Linked DNA regions of Sus scrofa. The protein of the gene in region 2 purifies or fractionates together with the protein of the main gene of each other region. This does not show direct contact. Links are inferred from orthologs where the notes say so. Each region holds a gene or a part of one and is shown on either strand. Other genes may lie near its edges.

Region 1 (4,117 bases), on a different chromosome or scaffold from region 2:
GTTCAGAACCTCGACTCGCAGCTCCCAGTTGCATTCAGACCCGATAGCTTGTCGAGGCGTTGAGAGTCTCCCCCGCAGCCCCCACCCCCCGGCCCAACCCCCGGCTTAGCCTGAGGGATGCCCTCCCGGCCCTCCGGCCCGGCCTGCACCGCCTTCCCCGCCCTCCCCCGACTCTCCAGGCCGCCTGTCTCTCGGAGCCCCTGGCGCTGTCCTTTCGGACCCGCAACCCTCCAAACTTGAGCTGGACTCTGCTTCGCCGCGCGCTCCCTCCCGCCTCCCCTCGTCCGCAGCGGAGCTGTAACTTGGAGGCTCTGCTCTCAACTTCGGGTGGTTTTTCTTTGCTATCCTCTTCTCCGGCAAAGTTTCTAGAGTGCAGCCGCGGGCTCAGAGCTTTTACTTCGGTCCCCGGCGTCCCCACGCGGGGCACGAGCGCAGCTGCGGCTGCGGCGGAGAGGGGAAGTGGGTGTGCGCACGCAGGAGGGTGTCCGGGAACAACTCTACCTGGCTTCCCTCCGCCCGCGCTTCCCCGGCCCCAGCAGCTTCCCCGTACACTCTGGCTTTTTTATTTTTTTAATTTTAAATAATCTTTCATTTTAGGTTCCGCGTGCGGGGGGGAGCAGGGCGTACGTCTTGCTCCCCCCCCGCCCCGCCGCCCCTTTCTTCTCTCCCGGCCACGCCGCCGCCTCGGCGCTCGCTGCGGCCACTGGTGAGCCCGCGGCCCCAGAGCCCCCTCCCCTCCGCCCGCCCCTCCCCCGGGGGCCGCGTCTGGCGTCTGCGGAGCCCCCCGCCCCGCACCTCCCCCGCCCCGCACTGGCCATTGGCTTGTCCTGGTCTCTTTTTCATGTCCAGCCCCTGATGTGTGTCCATTGGTGTGAGCTTCCCCTTCCCTCCTCCCCTTCTCTCCTGCTCGCCCTGCCCATGTTTTGTGTGTCTCTGTCCATCCAGACTCCTGACGTTCAAGTTCGCAGGGACGTCACGTCCGCACTTGAACTTGCAGCTCAGGGGGGCTTTTGCCATTTTTTTCATCTCTCTCTCTCTCTCTCTCTCTCTCCCTCTATCTCTGCTCTCTCTCTCTCTCTCTCTCTTTTTTTTTTTTGCTTAAAAAAAAAAAAGCCATGACGGCTCTCCCACAATTCATCTTCCCTGCGCCATCTTTGTATTATTTCTAATTTATTTTGGATGTCAAAAGGCACTGATGAAGATATTTTCTCTGGAGTCTCCTTCTTTCTAACCCGGCTCTCCCGATGTGAACCGAGCCGTCGTCCGCCCGCCGCCGCCGCCGCCGCCGCCGCCCGCCCCGCAGCCCACCATGTCTCGCCGCAAGCAAGGCAAACCCCAGCACTTAAGCAAACGGGAATTCTCGCGTAAGTAACCCAATAATAGTAATAATAATTATTAATAATCACGAGAGCGCGCAGGACGAGAAGCAAGAGAGAGGGGGAGAAAGGGGTGTGTGCATGCATTTAAATTTTTTTTTTTCACGAGAAAAACCTCCGAGAGTCGGGATAAAAGAGATTGGGGGGGGGCAGAAAACCAACCTCATCCCATCCCGAAACATAGCCGTATGTATACTTTTGGGGTGGCACGAACCTTTCAATTTTATTTAATTTTACAAAAATTAAAAAAGACTCCTCCTCTTTCCTGCTTTCCGCTGCTTTATTTCGCTTTTCGAAAAGGAATGCAATGATTTCCCCTCCAATTTTGCAAAATAATGAACAATGCTGTGGATGCTAACAACTCTCGTGTAAACCTAAGGGAGGGAACCGGAGGGGAAAAGGGGGGTTACTTCCACTCACCGTAGAAAGGAAAACGGGGGGTGGGGACCCAAGTCTTAAAAAAACAATTCCTAGGGAGGAAAGAGGTGAGACTGGCCCTCGGACACCGGGGCTCTCACGGTAAAGCGTGCACCGGAGGAAAGTAGTCATCTCTACAATAGTGAGAAAGTGGGATTGTGGGAGGGGGGCCCCCGGCGCTCCGGAGTCGGCCGAGTCTGGAATGGGGCTGAGGCTGTAGGGAGAGGGCGACAGGGAAGGACCGGAGAAGCGGCCGGCGCTGCTGCCTTTTGTTCCGGTCGGAGGTGGGTGTTTGTCCCGCTGCCTTTTGTGCCGGCTCCTTGCGCTTGCCCTCCCGCGCCGCCGCCGCTGCCGCCGAAGGGCAGGAGCAAGGGCCGGGGGCGAGCGGGAGAGGGAGGGAGGGCACCCCGATCACCGCCTCCCGGGTTGCTGCTGCCCGCTCCTCCCGGCCGAACCTCAGTGGCGGCGAGAAGACGTGTAAAACAAAACAAAACAAAACAAAACAAAATAAATAAAACAGGTCAAGAGAATGTGAAATTTCTTGCCCTCCAACTGACGCAAAACGCTCCGCCGGCCGTTTTCTGCAACGCTCTCCTCTTAGATTCGCCCCCCCCCCCGCAAAAATATCACATTCTCTAATTGAGGGGAAAAACACAATTACCACCCCTCCCTCCTCAAAACCCCTTTAGTTGAAAACTTAGAGCGCCGGCGGCACGGAGAGGGAGCGAGGAACTCCCTCCTCTTACTATTTTTTGGAAGATTTTCAAAAAAAGTGGAAGTGGATTTTGATTGGGAAAAATCTCGTGTCTGAATGTTTACAAGCACCGCGTGTGCGGGAGTCTCCTGCCAACAAACAGACAGAGAGGACCGAGCACTGCGCGGCAGCCCGGGAGCGGGCGGCGGCTGTGGCCGGGCCTCGCCCGGGCCTTGCCGGGCCTCGCCGCGCCCCCGCCCCGCCCGGGATCGCCCACCCAGCGCCCGCCGCCCGCCCGCTTGCTCGCCCGCCTGTCCGCCTGCACAGCGGAAGGCTGTGCTGCAACTCCGAGCCTGCCGGGTTCAGGGTCCACCCTGGAGCCCCAGCACAATGCCTAGACCTCCTCCCGGCCAACCCTGCTGCGAAATCGTCTGGGGAGAAACTCGGCTTTGCAAAGCATTTTTATTTAGCAAAGCAACCGAAAAAGCTAGTTCTGTCCGCTCCCTACCCCCGACGTCTCTTGCCTCCAGCTCTGGGCGGCGAGGAGGTCACCACGTGCTTTCCCGGCCCCCCTCCCACCCGCACTGGGCACCAGCCCCCGGGTCCTGAGAGCGTCGAAGCCAAGTGGGGGTGGGGGTGGGGTAAAGGAGTAGTATGTTGGAATGGGCATTTTGGGAGTGTTCGACCCCAGGACCCTACGCACCCCACCCTTAGGTTCTTGCTCTCTACCTCGGACCTAGACTTGAACGCGGGGGCGGGGGTGGTGGTGTTTCCTTGTGAATCTGTATAAGAGGGGTTGGGGTGGGTGAGTGGGTAGCAGTCTCCTGGCTTAACAGAATGCGCCTGGAAAGGCAGGCGATGGATACTTAGGAAAGTTTGGCTGCAAGAGAAAGAAAGGCGTGAGGGCCCACTTCCCTTCCCCTCCTCATTCTTGACCCTTAATTTAATTTTTGCTGCAATTTTAAAGGACCACCCTATACCTAGCTCTGTATTTTTTTAAAAGGGGTGTGTGTCTGGGGGGGGGGGTTGCGCATAGGGAATTGAGTTTTTCACTGGGCCCTGGAACTTGTCACATACTTCGAAAGCTCCCCCGCCCGGGCACGTTGCGGGCCCTCCCTCTCCCCACCCCCGCGCATCCCTCCCTCGCCGCTCTCCCCCGCCCCCCACTCGCCCAGCCGCGCCGGATGCGGAGCAGACGCGGCGCGCGGCGGTGTGAAGTTACAGCCCGGCCAGGTACCGGCGGGAAGGAAGGGCAGTGTTCGCAGCACTCGGGAAAGCCGGGCCCTTCTTCGGAAGGATGCATTAGGGGTTCAAAGGACGGACTGAGGCGTGCAGTCTGGGCTGCCCCCCTCCCTTCCCCCTTTCATCCCGGGTCCATTCTGGGCCACTCCAGGCGGGTTGGGTTGGCCCCTCTCTCCTCGTGTTTCAGGGCAGGCTTTGGTTAACGGACCAGTTTGAAGAGGGTGCAGGGGTCGCTCCTTTCTAATTTTCTGGGTGCGTAGAGGAGGCGGGAGCCATTCCGATCCTCAGGACCCCCTTCTTCCCCCCTGTCCTCCGCTCCTAGGGCTGTATGAGCCATTCGGTCGCTAGGAGGCAGAACAAGATCAAGAAAGCTCAGCGAACTTGAACC
Region 2 (3,567 bases):
TGCAAACTGCCACTGTCCCAGCCCCTCTCGGGGAGGAGGATGTGCCCATGTCTCCCCAGCCTGCCCTCCACTATTTTGCTCTGGTCCCAAAGGCAAGGTAGTCCCCTGACTAGGCCCCCTGGCTGACCCACTCAAGTTTAGTCCGTATCCAGGTCTGCAGGAGGGAGGGTAAAAGTCCTCCAAGAACCTGAGCCCCAAAGCTGGGGGCTCCCCCGACGTCTGGCCCATTGCGTTCTCTGCCACCCTTTCTAGATTACGTGGGTCCCTAGGACAGATTGGGGAGCTCCTCTTTGGCTTAAGGGAGTATTCACCCAAATTATTAGTCTCTTTGTAGGGGCAGTCCTTGGTCCCTAGGGATGGGGTAAGATTCCCAACACAAGATGCCAGTACGCAGGAGGTGACTGAGCCAGTGAACAGCGCCTTTATTCTGAGGCTGAACAGCAACGGACTCCCTCCCTTGTAACTGCTCCACTCTCCATCTGCGGGGAGGGAGGGAGGGAAACATGCAGCCGCCCCTCCTCTTCCCTTCCGCCCTCCCAGGGCTCACTGTCATCCCTCTCTAAAGTCCCCTCCTCTCTTCAAGGCTCTCTTTTCCCCACCGAAGTTCCTAAAGGCCAGGCAAGGCTAACTCCCCACTTCTGCAGGAGGTGGAGCTTATATTTTGGGAATAAAAACTGGGGAGGCTCCACCTCTTTCCTCCCCACAACCACTGATCGGGAAGCTGTGTATGCTTGGCGGTGGGGGTAAAGGTACTTGGAGGACCCTGCTCACCAGCTCCCACCCAGACCTCTTCTCACCAGCAGTCTCCAAAGCGCGGTGGGAAAGGTGCGTGGGGTAGAAAAGACAAAGGGCCCTTCCTGAAAAGAGTGGGAGAGAGGGGCAAACGGGCTCCTAGCCCAGTGGTGGCCCAAGGGGTGGGGAAGGCGGAGGACTGGCAGCAGGCCCCAGAGCCTGAGCTGGGGGTCGGCCTCGGGAACGAGGCCTGGGTGAAGGGCAGGTCTGGGATCCGGTCAGTCGTCTATACAGATCACCTCCCCGGCTCGGGGCTCCTTCCGATCCAGCCCGTCTGACACCAACGCCCCCATCATTTCCTTCTCCTTCTTCACCAGCACTGGAGGGCCGTTGGTGGCGGCTGTTTGGGAAGGGGACAAGGGGATAAGGAAGCATCAGTCCCTATTTCACTCCCCATCATCGACAGCGACCACACATTCCAAGTTTCAGTGTAACGCCCTTCCGATTTCACGTTCTCTTTCCCTCAAGTCACCCATGTTAAGAGGCACCGAGCCACAGAACTGCTAGGTGTCTTTGAGTCTAGCAACAGAGGAGAGGAAAGGGATGGGAAAGGCGTTCCTCTGGGGTGCAGCGGGGTAAGGAGCCGGCCTTGTCACGGCAGTGGCCCACGTCACTGCTGGGGTGATGGGTTTGATCCCTGGCCTAGAGCTACTCCATTCCATAAACCACTGGATGCTTCCAAGGGAATGAGATGGGCTGGCCAAGGAAAAGGGCAGCTGAGCAGAGATGAAGCTTAGGAAAGGGCCAGTACGAGTGGGAGGCAGGACGTTACCAGCTGACCTGTGATGAAGGACCCTGCAGGCATCTGGCTGTAATTGGCGCCTGCGGCGGCCAGGGCCCCTACGGGTGCGGCGCTGAAGGCCGCCCCGTACCCCGGAGGTGTGGCGTAGGGACCCGGGGGGAAGGCCTGGAAGAGAGATCGAGCCGCAGTTAGAAGGTCCACAGTCTTTGAGGAAAGAAGCTGTAGGGGAGACAGCAAGGGCCAAACTGCAGAACTACGGAGGGGCATCACGCAGGCAGGGAGACTCAAGGCCGACGAGTGTGTTCGAGCAAGTCGTTTTTCCACATTGTATAGCATTCCGGAGGAAGCGTTTGTGCGTGTGCAGGAGGAGTCAGGGAAAACGAGTCAGGGGGAAAGAGGGTTACCGGTGTGGGGCGAGGCTCCGTGCCCTTGCTGGCCAGCCGGCTGAGGATGCTGCGCTCGGACATCTGAAGGCGGGCTGCGATGGGGGGTATTCGGGACAGCGTGGCTGGCAGGCGGGTCACGTCCGCCTTCATGTCGCTCAGCAACTCCTCCAGCTGGTTCAGAACTGGGGCCCGGGCCACGGAGAAAGAAGGGCAAGAGAAAGACAGGGAAAGGGAGAGATGGAGCCAGGAAAAGAGATGAGGATTCAGATGGACAGATAGTCAGAGATGGAGAGAAAGGAGCAGAGAGACGAGGACAGAGGTCAAAGAATCAGAGACCAAAGAAATGACAGAAGTAGAGAGAAGAAGAGAGCAGCTCGGGGGAACAAGAAGTGTCAGGTAAAGCGGCAGAGACCAGATCATCACAAAGGACAGGTGGAAAGAAAGACGCAAGGACAGGGGGAGACAGGGCAGGACATTGGAAGACATGGGGCAGGGGGTTGTCAGAACATCCCATACTGGAAGACTGAGGGTTGGGGGTTGGGGTGACGGGGAGGAGATAGTCGGGAGGCGTGGGAGGCGGTAAGTGGTGTCAGAGATTTCAGGAGTCGGGTCTGAGTGTATAAGGGGGAGGGAGGTTAGAGGGTCAGCATTACAGATTCGAGGAATCACAACAGGAATTACAGGGGCCAGGAGGCAGTCACTACTTCGAATAGAACTAGCTGGGGAGCGGGCTTCAGAACGTAATCTATTATTATCAGGGTGAGAGGGTCTGGGAGGAAGGGTTGAAGGTCAAAGGGAAGTCTCGTGGGGTAGGGTCAGAGGGTGGGATGGTGGTGGTTTCTGCCCCACTGGGTGAATGAGATGTGGGAAGTGTAATTCGTGGGACTGGGGGCAAGGACTTCGCTGGGCTGTACACAGGCTGAGGCCCCAGAGAGGGTGCTATTAGCAGTATGGCAGGCGTGGGGGTCAGCGAAGTTCCGTCCTGTGGAGGGGACGTGGCACCGTCTCACGGAGGCTGGGGGGAGGCCCCTCTATTAGGCACTGATGTGAATGCTATTAGGTCTGGGAGAGGGCTGGCTATACAGATCCTAGAGGCCAAAAACCAAGGGGGTACCAGGTGGGGGGGGGGTTAGAGGTCAGAGGGGGGTGGTTCAGAGGGTAAAGGGGTCAGAGGGGTGGGGAGATTTTGAAGGGTGCGGGGTGAAGACTTACGCAGCGTTGTGGGCCCTCCCCCGCGCGGGGCCGCCGCGGCCCTTACCCTTGTGCAGGACGGCGTTGGCCGGCTTGTTCCCCGCCAACGACTCCTTGGAGAGGTGCTGGTGGCTCTCGGCCAGGCACTCGGCCTCGGCGAAGCGGGCGTGGAGGGCCATGGCGGGGTGCGCCGGCTCCTGTGATAGGTTCAGGTAGGCCGCCCGCCGCAGCTGCTCCTCGATCACCAGCGCCTGCTCCAGGAGCTGAGGGCGCGGGGAGCAGGTGAGTGCAGGGAGCGGTGGCGGCAGCAGCAGCCAGCGGCTGGATCAGGGCTGGGGACCTACCCCGCCCTCACCACTGGCTCAGGGCACCCCAAGCTCCACACTGATCCTGACGGCGACCCCAACATCGAACCCGATCCAGACCACAGACCCAAACACAGGGTGAACCTCTAGT

Evidence for each region. Proteins that work in one complex are often made in the same cells at the same time.
Region 1: the proteins of CHD3 (region 2) and BCL11A purify together in Homo sapiens (affinity purification with mass spectrometry; 3 studies listed by BioGRID). This does not show direct contact. The link is inferred for Sus scrofa from reciprocal best matches to the Homo sapiens genes CHD3 and BCL11A.

Annotation. Positions count from the first base shown.
Region 1 is NC_010445.4:81,196,626-81,200,742, forward strand, and holds the start of BCL11A (B-cell lymphoma/leukemia 11A), read left to right. Parts: upstream 1-1,260; 5' UTR 1,261-1,309; coding exon 1,310-1,364; intron 1,365-2,819; exon of another isoform or gene 2,820-3,671; coding exon of another isoform or gene 3,672-3,720; intron 3,721-4,117. UniProt on the Homo sapiens protein: Transcription factor. Associated with the BAF SWI/SNF chromatin remodeling complex. Binds to the 5'-TGACCA-3' sequence motif in regulatory regions of target genes, including a distal promoter of the HBG1 hemoglobin subunit gamma-1 gene.
Region 2 is NC_010454.4:53,159,534-53,163,100, reverse strand, and holds part of CHD3 (chromodomain-helicase-DNA-binding protein 3), read right to left. Parts: intron 3,375-3,567; coding exon 3,133-3,374; intron 2,103-3,132; coding exon 1,939-2,102; intron 1,700-1,938; coding exon 1,573-1,699; intron 1,133-1,572; coding exon 892-1,132; 3' UTR 1-891.